2 linked regions of the Lytechinus pictus genome follow. The protein of the gene in region 1 purifies or fractionates together with the protein of each later gene. This does not show direct contact. Links are inferred from orthologs where the notes say so. Each region holds a gene or a part of one and is shown in the gene's direction. Other genes may lie near its edges.

Evidence for each region. The genes of interacting proteins can lie anywhere in the genome.
Region 2: the proteins of exosome complex component RRP4-like (region 1) and exosome complex exonuclease RRP44-like purify together in Drosophila melanogaster (affinity purification with western blotting; 3 studies listed by BioGRID, with this or other methods). This does not show direct contact. The link is inferred for Lytechinus pictus from reciprocal best matches to the Drosophila melanogaster genes Rrp4 and Dis3.

The regions. Positions count from the first base shown.
Region 1 is NC_087259.1:10,557,115-10,564,722, reverse strand, and holds the start of exosome complex component RRP4-like, read left to right. Parts: upstream 1-4,595; 5' UTR 4,596-4,735; coding exon 4,736-4,848; intron 4,849-7,608. Other genes in the region: ubiquinone biosynthesis protein COQ4 homolog, mitochondrial-like, read right to left, coding at 2,123-2,246.
Region 2 is NC_087249.1:53,877,136-53,884,592, reverse strand, and holds the start of exosome complex exonuclease RRP44-like, read left to right. Parts: upstream 1-4,452; 5' UTR 4,453-4,589; coding exon 4,590-4,814; intron 4,815-5,935; coding exon 5,936-5,998; intron 5,999-6,405; coding exon 6,406-6,500; intron 6,501-7,323; coding exon 7,324-7,457.

The DNA.
Region 1 (7,608 bases):
CAAAACTTAAAGGTCAAGTCCACCCTAGAAAAAAGTTGATTTGAAAAATAGAGAAAAATAAAAAAAGTACAATACTGAAAATATCATCAAAATCGGATGTAAAATACGAAAGTTATGACATTTTAAATTTTTGCTTATTTTTCACAAAACAGTTTTATCTATGCACAACTCGGTGATATGCAAATGAATGAGACAATGATGTACCTCACTCACTATAACTATTTCTTTTATTTTTTGTTTGAATTTAATTCTATACAATATTTCAATTTCTACAGATTTGACAATAAGGGCCAACTTGACTGAACCATAAAAGGATTTTTTTTAAATGAAATGTGCATATATGTGCAGGGATGAATGCCACTTTGTTTCATTGGAAAATAATGAGAAAATTAGAATATTTCAGATAATAAAAAATACAAAAGAAATAGTGAGTGGATGACATCATAGGTCATCTCATTTGCATACCGACCATGATATGCATATAACTATTTTGTGAAATTAAGCAAGACTTCAAAATATTAAAGACAATTCCACCCCAACAAAGAATTGATTTGAATAAAAAGAGAAAAATCTAACAAGCGTAACACTGAAAATTTCATCAAAATCTGATGTAAAATACGAAAGTCATGACATTTTAAAGTTTTGCTTAATTTCACAAAAAAGTTATATGCACATCTGGTTGGTATCCAAATGAGGGAACCAATGACATCTGTCACTCACTATTTCTTTTGTATTTTCTTATACGAAATAACAAAAATATTCCTATTTTCTCCTCATTGTCCTGCGAAACAAAGTTTTATTCCTCACTGAACATGGGGAATTACCATTGTTTAACATTTTATTGTTTAGTCAAGTTGGTCCTTATTGTCAAATCTGTAAAAATTGAAATATCGTATAATTCAAACAATAAAAAACAAAAGAAATAGCGAGGGACAACATTGATTCTTTCATTTGCATGTGACTAAATTAATTGTGCAAAATTGTGATGAAATTTCCAGCATTATGATAAATCTGATTTTCCTCTATTGATTTAAAATTTAAATCAACATTTTTTTTTTGAGGTGGACTTTCTTATTTTACATCCGATGATGAAATTTTGCCGATTTGATTTGATTTGCCGAATTTCAATCTCGTCCACTCCTTCGATCGAATGATGAGGTGTGGTGTATTGTGGGTGACCGTCGACGGCTAGTTCTCAAGGTACCCGTGCGCGAGGTTTACCGTGATTAGAGCCGTCGATCGGCAGCGCATCGATAGAACTTGATGAGCGTCACGATACGAACGCGAGCATATTATTATTGGAAAGTGCCATGGAACATGCAGCTAACAAGACAAAATAAAATAAGTTATCAAACACGAATTTATTACCAACATCTGCTCAGATTCGATATAAAAAAAAGCAAATAATACTTAGAATTTACTCATGATATGATATAAGAAGAAAAAAATCAAAAAAATTTGTTCTTACATCATTAGAATCAAGGATATCTTTGCCCGTCCGGCGCGCGTCCGGAATCATGATGTAATTTGTCGCGCATGAAAATAATTGTTTTTCGTGGAGGGGTATGCGGCAAGTGCGATGCAAAGAAAATGGTTGGTAAATATAAAATAATTTTATCATATTCATAATTTTCATAATATTTGGAATAGCAAGTGTGAAAATTTCTTGATTGTATTTCCTCTAGTTGTCATTTTTAAAGCACTGAAATAAAGGTGTCCGGTAATAGGATACACTGCCATACTAGAGTAGACCGACTGAAAAGGGGAACAGCAATAGTTACTCTTTTGCACCTTGCCCTTTGTCTATGTTTTCAGTTTGTTTTGTTTCTGCTTCATTTTTTTTTTTACTTTGTTTCCCTTATCTGCATATCAAATATGAATTCGTATGTTTTAAAGATTCAGAAAATAAAATCATTTTGGATTGGATTGAAATTGATTGAACGTTCACCGGGCCCACGCTTTTGTCCGCAAACGCACCAGCCGAAGGCGAGGCGCTAAGCAATAATTCGGCGCGAGCTTGCCGAGTAAGCTCGCGCTCAGAGAGCGGGCGAGCACAATCGGGGCCGGGGACGCGGCGGGCAGCAGCCGCGGCAGTAGGCCGTTGGCGTTGCGCGTTACTTACCCTTTCGCTGATTTTGATGTAAATTTCGAAAGATACTCCAAGTGCAATTCCTATTTTTCTTCATCCGCGTCGTCCTACTGAACCTATTGAACACAGTAGGTCTATTACAAATTGTCAAGGCCATTTATGTTTTAATAGTATGTGTTTGATGAGTGACATTCATTAAACGGACTCCAGTCTCAGTAAACTCGAAAGGTACCGGTATACAACTAAAGTTATCGATTAATATAGAGCTGTATGTAGCTCATCATTGCGCAATAACGTTTACAAGTCAAGTACTGTATGATACCATGGACCTACTAGCTAGTAGGTCCATGATGATACCAAACTTACCAATCAACCATAGAGATGTATACTAATTACGTTATTAGTATATATCTCTATGCAATCAACAGAGATAATTATATACTAATATCAAGTACCACACAATTAAAAGCAACGGGGGCCGGGAATAAAATAAATCAATTCACTTTTGAAAATAAAGGATAAGATCAAGATGGCTTTATTTCATTTTTCAATAGTAGTAGCAGGCCTACTCATGAGGAGTTTGGATTTAGGGGTCAACTTGAACATATATGCATGCAGCAGCGCTGCCCCTAGTAAATAAAAATAATAATACAAATGCCTTTCTCCAAAATCCTCCAGAAATTTAATTTTAAATGGAAACAAAAGCCTTGCAAAACATTATCGTTTTTTCCAGTTTATATATTGTCATATCTAAAACTTCACTAGGTGATATAATCATGCATAACAGGGGCGGCGATCCTGGGGGTGTGGGGGGCACGTGTACCCCCCCCCCCCCCACTTTTTGAAGCACTGAAAGTGTCCTTTTTACGCACGAAAATGCCCCCTCACGAACGTGTTCTGTGCCCCTTTCACCTGAGGAGGACCCGTTTTAGGTGCAGTGCCCTTTCTCGTATAAGTGCCAATCAATTTTTTAAAGCAAAAATGCACCCCCTTGAACGTGTTCTGTGATCCTTTCACCTTAATAGAAAGACCCGTTTTATGTGCGAGAAAGTGCCCTTGCTTATGTCCCTTGACTATATGGCCCGTTTTATGTGTGAGCAATTAAGTGCCCGGCCCTAGAAATGCCTTCTTGTAAGTGCCCTATCTCGTATCAGTGCCCCATGCACACAAACATGTTCTGTACTGCCCCTTTCACATGAGATGGATTTTAGTTAACGATCGATTGCCCCTTTGAAACAAGAAAACTATTCTAATTTTTGTTTATATGTATATGTTTATATACAAAACTTGTAAGGATAATCCTACGTGCCTTAAGCTATGTGAGTGGCAGTGGCGTAACAGGCGGGGGCAGGGGGCGTATACAGGCCCGGGGACGGAGGGGGGGGGGGGTCTTGGGTCCACACCCAATAGGAAATAAAAGAAATGATATGATACAACGTATTATGAAATGAATGGAAGCAATGAAATGTGTTATTTGCTGAATATAATGGAAAAATCGCAGCTTCTTATAAATTAACGTGATATATCTAGCCCCCTCAAAAATGTTGCCCCATTAGGCTGTAGATGAATCATTTTTATTTGTTTTAAGAGAAAAGAAAAGGTGCCTTTTTCCCCTGTGCCCCCTATAACTTTGCTCCACCACCCCTAGTGCATAAGCAAAGAGATAATTCATTTTTGTTTTCATTCAAGAAGTTAATTCATTCGGTCTTTCATATTTTCGAATAAGTCAATTGAATCAAACTAATAAACAAATAGATTATGAAAGCAAAACAAATAAAAAAAACTTAAAAATGAAGTCAAGCAGTATAGGTGCGACGCCCCTCAAATTTCTCAATTGATGAATAATGGACGTATAGCTAAATAAAACATTAAAGGGGAGAGGGGCCTGGGCTGGGACCGATTTTCTATAAGAGGGGTTCTGCTTCTATATTAAGAAAAAATTGACAAGCAAAAAACAAAACAAGAAACAAAATGACTGTAAAAAAACGCTGTTTAAAATTGAAAGCACTTTGTTTAAGCCCGTCACTCTAACAACCACTGTTTAAACTTTCTAAACAAGTTTTGTTAAAAAGTTTCAACAATTAACTTGTTTTTAGAGTGACTGACAGGCTTAAAGAATTAACGTGGTTTTTTTTGTAAGAATGAAGGTGAATTTGGTCAAACCTATTGTGATTATCGCTTATTATGTGTCAATTTGGTAATAGAAGCCTAATGATATACATTATACCATACCAACTAAATTTACAGAAGTGCTGCAATAATAGTGTAGCACGACTCATATATACTGTTCTCCCCTGTTCTTTGGCCCAAAGAGACTTTGGCAAGCATTAATCAATCAAAATAGGGGGGAAATCCATTTGAAATCTTCACAGCGAGATAAAATTTACTTAAAACCTAACTGAAATTTATGGAATCGCATTGACATTTCTGTTGATTTATTTCACTTATTTTACTTGAGCATGATTGACAATAAATTTGAATAGTTTTGACTTGACATCCACACTTCAGACGAAATGACTCCTATTCGCGATTGAAAGATACCAATTTGCTGCTGTCATATTAAAATTGTCTGCATGTTCAGTTGACTAGCTCAGTTAGTTAGGCCAGTACGTTTGACCTATTTGTGCACGAAAGTTGGGAAGGAAAATGGCAATATCCATCACCGCTCCTCGTGAAAGACGAGTTTGTGATGAATTTACAGAACCTCAACGATTAGTAACACCAGGAGCAACCATTACAGCCGACACAGATTTTATGAGGTGATGAATTAATGGACCAGTAGTAGCGACGGGAACGGCCATGACGGCATTCCCGTGCCCGTGGGTGGCCGCCGCGCTGGGCCATGTGGGGGCATGGCAAAAGTCGAAGTTCCACCGCCGGCGCAGCGGCGGAGTTCAACTTCAAGAGTAGACTAGAGCCTGAATGTGGCGAATACGCGTCGTGGACTTGTCTTGCCTTGGGGAACGGGTGTTTTTGTTTTGTTTTGTTTTTATTCTCTTTTTTTAGCCAAATATTTAAAGCAAGGCAGAAGTTTGGACGTAAGACTTTGTTTCTGAACTCGCATGACCATGTTCAATCTTCAAAATGCTACCCAACATGCCCAATTTTGATAATGATTGTAAATTAGTATTTTTCATTTTTTGTCAAAACAAATTGTGATCCATTATGATTCACCATTGTCATTGATTGGAAGAAAAAAAAATAGCCAAGCCTGTTCAAAGACATAGCAACATAATCAGTGTAATTATGTGTAACTGCACATACCCGGCCCTGAATTTGTCCAACAACAGTTCATTTGAATAAAAAGAATAAACTAGGGACTAGCTTCTAACATAATCTAAGACTAAGTTCAGAAAATAATATGGTTAGGTAGGACAACGAAAAAAACAAAATGGCATTTCTACTAAAAAAGCATTACCTATTAGCATCATTGTCAAAGACATTGCTCAAAACTTACCATAAAATTTCCTACATAGTGAAAAATAAGGCTTAATAGTTAAATGCCCTATAAAATGTGTCTGGAAATGCATTTTGGCCCATCCCCATATTAGTTTAGCCTAGGCTATAAGCTGTGTGGGCTAGTGGCTGAAAATTGGCATTTTTAAGTCTTTATGCTGACCTAGACTGTTTGAGCCTCTGTGAGCTGCCATGGAAACATGTCACATTGATAGATAAACCACTTGGCTACCAGAAAATGTGAAGATGTTGCTACCAACGTTCTCGCCAGTGTAGAACACACGCGTCGCATGCGACACACGTAAATTCCACAAGCTCTATATGCGTCACGTGCAAAACGCGAGCGACACAGGCAAAAAAATAAATTAAAAAAAATTTTAAAAAATCATAAAAAGTGGGGAAAAGTCATCGGAAATAATTGTTGCATCATTCATCATCAATCCTCAAAAGTAAAGGATGTTTCAGAATCATTTCGGCAACAGACAAACTACGATGTTATTATTGATGACCGGAAAATATCCATGCGTAGAAACTGGCGCATTTCCACTTCCAGCCGGCCGGCGAGCCAGCCAGCCAAGCCTGAGCAGCCACACTAGCGTTGCCAGCGCGCCTAGCTGAGCCGGACATGCATGCTACAATGTATGTTAGAACTGAATTGTCCGCGGTGCGACCTGGGTCCGACGTAGCCTTTCATTTTTACATGATACCGTTTTCTGATAGTTTTCAAGAAATTTTTATCATAAAATGAATTGTTCCTCATAATTTTCCCGCTAATTACTTTCTAAGTAATATTCTTAACGTTCATTCTCAATTTCTCATGTCATCTGCTGTCATGTCACAAGTTACTCACAATGAGTGTTGGCTAGCTTGCTGGAAATGGGGCTTAGGGCGACACGTGTGTGCATGAATTTGTCAAAGGAGAAAAACAAGATCCCGGGCGCGGGAGCGAGATGTAAAGTTAATGTTATTTGTTTGACGGCTAATTGCTTGTTTTTAACGTTTATTTTTCATTCTTTCATCTAAAACAGACTATAATTTATTGTATTGTTTTTTACATGTGTGTACAGTTTCTTCTATTGATTAATAATCTAGTGGCGGGGGGGGGGGGGGCATGAGACCGCATGATCGACACATCGATTAGAAATATCTAAAAATAGATTTTTTAGGTATTTCTAATCGATATGTCATGCCAATGTGTATTTGGAAAATCTCTTTTTCATGTTGATATTTGACACTGGAAAAAATAAATATGTTGAATTTATTGTAGAATTAGTTTTTATTCTTAATGCATATTATAATCATCATCAATGTTATTTATAATTATGTATTGGAAGAGCTGACATTGTGTTTTATTGTAACACTAAAGGGGAAAAATGGTGTTAAATTTATGAGTTGTCAAGGTATTTATCAATTTGTAAAGACATCAAACTTCTATTTCTTATATGTATTTTATTTTGTATATGAACTGAAGTTGTCAAATAAAAACTACCATACAAAAAAAAACTCCCCCGCCCCTAGATCCTGCATCGTACAGATCAGAAATATCCCTAAGACTTTGCAACATCTTTCTAAAGGGAATTTTAATTGCAAAATGATGAAAATGGTCAAAAACACTTTTTCGAAGTCTCAATTTTCTTTAAAAAATAAACATGGTAGAAATAAACGATAAGTGATTTTGCAATTTCCAAATTTTCCCAACTGAAAACACGTTCATGATACGTAGGTTTCATTTCCAAGTGACCAATCATTAAAGGGGGAGTTCACCCTGACAAAAAGTTTATTGTACAGATAGGAGAAAAAAAAGATAAATATTGGTGAAAGTTTGAGGAAAATCCATCAAAGATTTAAAAAGTTATTAGAATATGTATTATTATTTTTTATTTGTAAAGTCGCTGATTAAAAAAAAAAATCAATGAAATGTCCATCACCACCCAAGGCAATTGCTCGCGTGGCTCATGTTTTAAAATCACTTCAGTGGCTGCCCAAATGAGTCCCAAGAGAAACGATTTTTATCTCATGTTTACCTGATTTAATGGTTCAGCAAATCTCGACAGATTATCTCA
Region 2 (7,457 bases), on another chromosome or scaffold:
GTTGACATTTAGGCAAGAAAGTCTATTTGTTGGTGAAGTTCTATCAGTTGGAATGTTACTTTTTCCATTTTTTCCAACAATCGTCCAACTGTTGCTGGTTCTTGTAAGTTTCAGTGGAGTTACTCTTAGGTCTTTCTCACGGCGTCCAACTCCGACTTTAGAATCATTTAGGGGGCCTAGTCCTGAACTGGTACGAATTGGGCTTGATGATTTACTTTATTCCAGTGGTCATAACGTAGTTCAACGTCCTCGGTGCCCTCATTAAGGGACGTAAGACTTTCAAAGGAGTTAGACCCACTTAAGTTCAATATAGATTCTGTAGATTTATTAGAGTCAAGTGAAGAGTAAAAAAATGAGCTAGCAAAGTTCATCATATCACAAAGCGGGCATAGCCAAATGGCTGTTGGATTTTGGGCATGGAAATCAACAGTTCTATTTAATTATTAAATTGATATCTTATTTATAAATGCATAATGTGGGTGCGGAATTAATGCGAGTGCAAATCGCGAGCCAAAATTTTTGATAAACTGTCATATAACTAAACAATTATTGATGCGAGCGGAAAAATTCGAGATTTAGACCTAAAAATGGTACACTCTGTTCATGTTTTGTAAATCATGAAAAGGGTGACTAATAGGGGATCTTCCTACATTAATAATGCGAGCACAAAGCGCGAGCAGATGCACGCGCGTGTTTCAGATTTAATCCAAGAATCTAGGCATTCTAAATACATCTTTTATCATGAAAATCAAAGCGAGCGCGAAGCGCGAGCATAAAATATTTGATATTCCGATCTTAAAAAAGGGTCATTTTCAGCTCTATAGGCAAGCACTTTGTAGAAAAATTGTGAGGTGGATATGGATCGCACTTAATAAAGGGCTGATACTTTTCATCATTATTATTTTTTTTAGTTTTGACAAAGGACTGGGAAATCCTTAGGACATGTCATCATTTGAAAATGATGACTATTTTTCTATTCCTCTTGCTAAGCGCGAGATGAAACAAAAGGGACAATTTAATTATTAAATTGATATCTTATTTATAAATGCATAATGTGGGTGCGGAATTAATGCGAGTGCAAATCGCGAGCCAAAATTTTTGATAAACTGTCATGAAAAGGAGATTTTAAGTAGTTTGTTGTGTAATCAATATTGACACAAACATAAATCGCCAATCAAAATGCAAGCATGCAGCGCTAGCTGATACGTTTTGACAATCAGACCTGAAAAGGGATATTTTGAAAAACTTAATGGAATTCACGAAAATAATAAGTACCTGATAAATCAAAATTTGCGAGCGCACAGCGCGAGCAGAAAATTTTAATATTCAAATAACTGACATTTTTACATAGCACTTTATAAAAATCAATTTGTAAATCACACAAAATAATGAAAGTTCGATTTCCGAGGTGAAATATGTTTTGTATATTGACTTCCAAACTTGGTATTTAAGCTCAATATTGAACAAGTTAGTTATGTAAATCACCTAACAGGCAATGCGAGCGCGATGCGCCAGCGAAAATTTTGTATAGTGACATGAAAGATTCTTTTTATTTTTCCAAGTTTTCCCCTCATTTCAATATTTTTTAATTCACCCGTCTTCCTCTTCTTCTTTTTTCTCCGCTCTTTTCCTTTTTTCTTCTTTTTTCTTTCTTTTTTTCTTTTTTTCATTTTTTTCTTTTTTTTGCTCCGCCAATAGGGGGGGGGGGGGAGCCCGGGCCCCTCGGGCCCCCCTAGATCCGCCTATGTTTTAATTCATATCCCTTTCTCAATCATGTATCATGCTATTTCAGAATGGTTTATTCTTTCTCACATCTTCTTCTTTCGTTCCTTTTCCCGCTTTCCTTCCGTTTCCCATTTTTCTTTCTTCTTAGTTTTCTTTTCACTTTTACCCTTTGCCTTTTCCTCTTTCCTCTTTTCTCCCTTTAATTCCTTTCCCTTTACTATGTGCCCTTTCTTTCTCCTCCCTTTTCTATTTTCCCGTTTTTTCGCTTTCCCGGTGAAATCCACCGGGGGGGGGGGGGCAGCCTGCCCCTTCCCCCTTGCTTCCCCTATCCCTAAGGGGCGGATCCAGAATTTTCCAATGGGGGGGGGGGCAATTTTTTTCGGATTAAAATAAAGGATTAAAGGATATTTTGTACCCGAAAAAATTTGACGAGCCCCAAAAAAAGGTTTTCAGCAACAAATTAAGGGTATTTCGTACCAGAAAAAAAATTGAGAAGCAAAAAAAAAAGATATTCAATCAAAGGTCAAGTCCACCCCAGCAAAATGTTGATTTGAATAAATAGAGAAAATCAAACTAGCATAACACTGAAAATTTCATCAAAATCAGATGTAAAATAAGAAAGTTATGGCATTTTAAAGTTTCGCTTATTTTTCACAAAACAGTGATATGCACAACTCAGTGACATGCGAATGAGTCAGTCGATGATGTCCATCACTCACTATTTCTTTTGTTTTTTATTGTTTGAATTATACAATATTTCATTTTTTACAGATTTGACCATAGGGACCGACCTGACTGAATAATATAGTATTAAACAATGCTAATTCCACATGTTCATGGAGGAATTAATCATTCACTCTTAAAACCGATCAGTCAAATTGACTAGACCAGTAGTCAGCTGGGAGCAACTGATATGGCAATCACTGATAGTCACATTTCTGACATATATTCTAGTCAGAAATAACTCTATTCTAGTAAAATATGACTAGAAAATAGTCAAATATGACTAGAATAACAGTTGCACCCAGCTGACCCAATTAACCAGTCATTTTTGACTGATTTGTTTTTAGAGTGTTGTTTCACTGGACAATGAGGAGAAAATTAGAATGTTTCATATTTCATATAATACAATACAAAAGAAATAGTGAGTGGATGACGTCATCAGTCTCCTCATTTGCATACCAAACAGGATGTGTATATAAATATTTTGTGAAATTAAGCGAAACTTAAAATGTCATAACTTTCTTATTTTAAATCCAATTTTGATGAAATTTTCAGTGTTTTACTTGTTGGATTTTTCTCTTTTTATTCAAATCAATTTTTGTTGGAGTGGACTTGTCCTTTAAGGAATATAGGGGCACACCTATGTTTTAATGGCATTTTTACATTACAAATTTTAATTTTTGCTTCTCAAAGGGAGGGGGCACGTGCCCCCTGTGCCCCCTCCCCGGCTTAATCCACGCCTGCCCCCGGCACATTTGCTCATTTTAATGCTCGATTTCCAGACGATTCGCAGCTTTGATCGGTACGTAGGGGAAGGCGGGGTAAGTTGTGACACTTTTTGCATTTTGCATGTTAGATCTGATATGACTAATGATATTGTAGAAATAAGTACCTTGCATGCCTTTTAATTTGATTATTTGGAAATATTTTTCACCTATATATAACTCTCTACCCCCACACTAAAAGACACTCTGACCTTTGAAAAAAACGATGTCAAATGGCTCAACTTTTCCCATCTGTGGGGTAAGTTGTGCCACCTTCTGGGGTAAGTTGAGCCACAAAAACTATGTACAAATTGTATGCGAACCCGCACGTCAATTTATTATTTAAAGTCTTTTCACTTGCTATATCTATAAATACTAACATCCTCTAAAAGTAAAAGAACTGTCATGTGAATTTGCTCCTTTCTGCCTGCATATCAATGGCTTTTTAAGGTTTTTGTTTAATCATTTGATTATACATTACCATACGAATTACCATTGCTCAACTTGCCCCATTTTGGCTGGCTGAAATTACCCCAGTCGGAACTTAATGCGATATTTTCACATCCACACATTTCTTATGCATCCATCATGTAAAAGACTATGACAAGAATGAGAATCCATACCTGGACTAACAATCTTGTTCTTATTTCTTTATTATACAGTTGTACTTAAAGACGTGTGTGGGTAAAAAGCAGTGATCTATTTCACACCATTTTTTACTTTTTTGGCTGAAATTTGTATTTTTCCCTCTAAAAAAGTACTTTTTGTTTCAAAGTTGAAAACAATGTGGTGGGGTTAAGAGTTATGTAATGGTTATCAATACATGACACCACCACAATGTCTGACTCATCTATTATTGGCCTGGAGGTCAGGGGCGGATCCAGCTTTTTATAAAGGGGGGGGTTGGGGTGGTATGCGAGGGAGCGTAGCGACCGAGTCCAAGCGAGCGGAGCGAGCGAGGGGGGAGGGTGTGGGAGGGGGTGTCCCCCCTCCCACAGTAGGGAAAATTTTTGAAAATCTGTGTGTGAAAATGGAATTACAAGTTAAAAAAAAAAGATAAGATTTAAAAAAATGGTCCCCGGATTTTTTTTTTTTTTTTTTTTTTGGGGGGGGGGGGGTTGCAACCCCCCCTTTAGATCCGCTTCTGGGAGGTGGTGGCTCAACTTGCCCCTATGCTCAACTTACCCCGCCTTCCCCTACGCTACGGTTGCCCCAATTTTTCATTTTGATCGTGATCGAAGACACCATATCAAATGGTAAACATAATGGTCTCGCGTGCAAATGTCTTGTGCCGACGGAGAAGATCATTCATGAAATTAAGTTTTTCTTCAACGTTTTAGGTTTTTGTGATCTTTGAATAAGGTCAGTAAGTCAACCATGCTGACTTCCAGGAGTTTTGTGAAGAAGACTCGGAAAGGAGGAGTGATGAAGGTTGTGAGGGAGCACTATCTGAGGGACGATATTTGGTGTGGATCCGCTGTTTGTTCCAAATGCTCAATGGATAAGCCGGTCTTGGAGAAGGAGCCCGTGCCCGAAGTGGCAAACACGTTGTGCCGCTATCCTCATTATCTCCTTCTTGATACAAATGTAGTTTTGCATCAGGTGAGCTGTCCTCTTGAAAAGAATAGGATTTCATGATTGTGGGCAATTAATGGCTGCTCAATTAGTTGGCATGGTTGGAACATCAAAGATTTAATACTAGGGCCTAGCAAAAGAAAAGTAAAAAAAAAAAAAAAACACTGGTGAGTGGACAGTGGAGTGGTCACATGATTTATTCTTGGCTTGCTCGCAAAAGTTGCAATCAAATTTAAAATGTGGTCGTCCTTATCCTGAAATAAGTCACCTTTCTTCTCGTGTGTATCAGTGTGTGTGTGCGCTCGTTGTTTAGTAAAGTCAATGGGAGATGAAAAAAGTCGCCGCCACTGATGAACATGACAAAATAAACGGCAGTGAATGGAGTGGTGGATAATGCCGTATGGTCTGACGAAGACTGATAAATCTGCTGTTTTGGAGTAGTTTTTCAATATTTTCAGATTTTTTGGTCCTACACTACAAAGACGGATGACGGCCATTTGCATGATTAGCTAGGTTCGTAATGGTGGAGCAAACAACCTCCGCTTAATTACACTTACAGTACAGCGTCTGGAGAAACTAAGGCCAGGGTACACTTTTGCACCCTCTAGGCTCTATTACTCATAAATTTTGCTTTATGATGGGGGAAAAGGAAGAAATAATTAAGATGAATTGATATAAAATACAATCAGCTTACCACCTTTCTGAAAAATATGCTGGAAAATAGCAAATTTTGATGACAAACATATTTGGATCAGCCAGGTTCTTCTTTGATCGCCGTCAGCTACAGCTCATTCATATGCTCAGCTGTAGCTGTGCTGACGGCGATCGAAGAAGGGTGGGTGGGTGATACAAAGAGTATGATTCATCAATGTCATAATTTTTTCTTTAGGAAATTTGCACAATGTCCTTTGAATAGAATGAGAAGCATATTGAATTGTCAAGAAAACAGTGAATGTATGAATATGCATCATATCTGGAATTTTGAACAAACATGTATTTTAGATGTTGACGTTGCTGGCTTTCCATAGTTGTGGTTGATTGGATCAATCATAACTCTTTGTAAGACAGGGCCCAGAAGTACAACTCCCACATCACATTTGTATCTATACATGCACATTTCTCAAGGGTATTTTTTCTATCTTTCACAGGTGGATATACTGGAGGACAAAGCAATTAAAAATGTCATTCTCCTGCAGACAGTTCAGAATGAGGTATGGGCTAAATACAAATTTATTGATTAAATTATGTGTGTATTAATTATATAAAAAGAAGACTTGTGGTGAAGGTGTTTTCAAGATGGTATATTGTGATAAAGGGACTGCAAAGATGAGAATTTAGGGTAGTGATGCCACTAAATCTTACATAAGTGTAAAAAAATAAGTTCTCATTTGTAAGAAGCTTTTTATAGCTAAATATCTGAAAGTGCTTTCTGAAATCGCATTGATTTTTAGATGCCTATTTTATTAGGTTTTGTCTTACACTGTTGTATTGGTAGTTCATCTTGTCACTGGGAGATAAATGAGTTTTCTGTTCAATTCAAGACTGCTTTTTAATCACATTAATTGTGATAAAATGCGCCAGTCTTAATACTAAATAAAATGTCACTTTCTATTTTCAGGTCAAACACAGAAGTTTGCCATCGTACAAAAGGATACGAGATCTCATTGCAAATGACAAAAAAAAGTTCTATGTATTCACAAATGAACACCACAGGTGAGGATATGACTTCACTTTGATTTATCATCATTTATGGTCAATGTTGTGGATCTTACAATTAACATTATGTTTTTAAAATATTTTCAAAGTCAGAGAGATAAATGCCCATACCGTAATACAGAATTTTTCCATGTGACTATAATGCTGGATACAAGTATTATATTTATCATCATTTTGGTATCCTAAGTAAACATTTTCCTTACTCTTATTAAAGAGAAAGGTTTATCGATAGGCTTATGCCATGTACCTCCTCTGCACGATAGTGTGCTTGATAAGTGTATACATGTAGCACATGTATTTTTATTATTAAAGAAGGTCAAGGCAGTGGCATAACATGGCTTTGAAATAAATCAGGTCAAGTTGTTTTTGCCAGGTTATGATCAGGCAGAAGTATTACAACACTGGTATTATAAAATTTTCTGTTGCCCACAGGCCTGGCTGCCCATGTTTTTACTTAGTGGGCATTAGGGACTAGCTATCATGAAACTTGTTACCAAAATGAAATACCATAAATTAGTAATGAATATCTTCTTAGCCATTTAATTAACTTGGCGAGATTGCTTTAGCTTATTGTAGTGGCAAGTTGCCATCGATAACAAGCTTTATTAAACATGACCAGTCCAGTATAGTGTTTCATGGAGCTTCTTTTGAATGATTTCACTGACAGACTATGCAGAGCCAATCAGATGCAAGGATTTCAGTAGCTTATAACATTTTCAGTGGAAATTGCTGGCTTCATGTATTAGTTTCATGAAATGCTCCCTGGAGCGCCAGTTTGGAGATCACAACTCATCCTTTATCATTATTTTCTTTTCCTCAGAGAGACATATATTGAGATCGAACCAAAGGAATCTCCTAATGACTTCAACGATAGAGCAATACGGAAGAGCCTTACTTGGTATGATAATCACTTCAAAGACACTAAGATCAAGATTGTCCTACTCACCAATGATG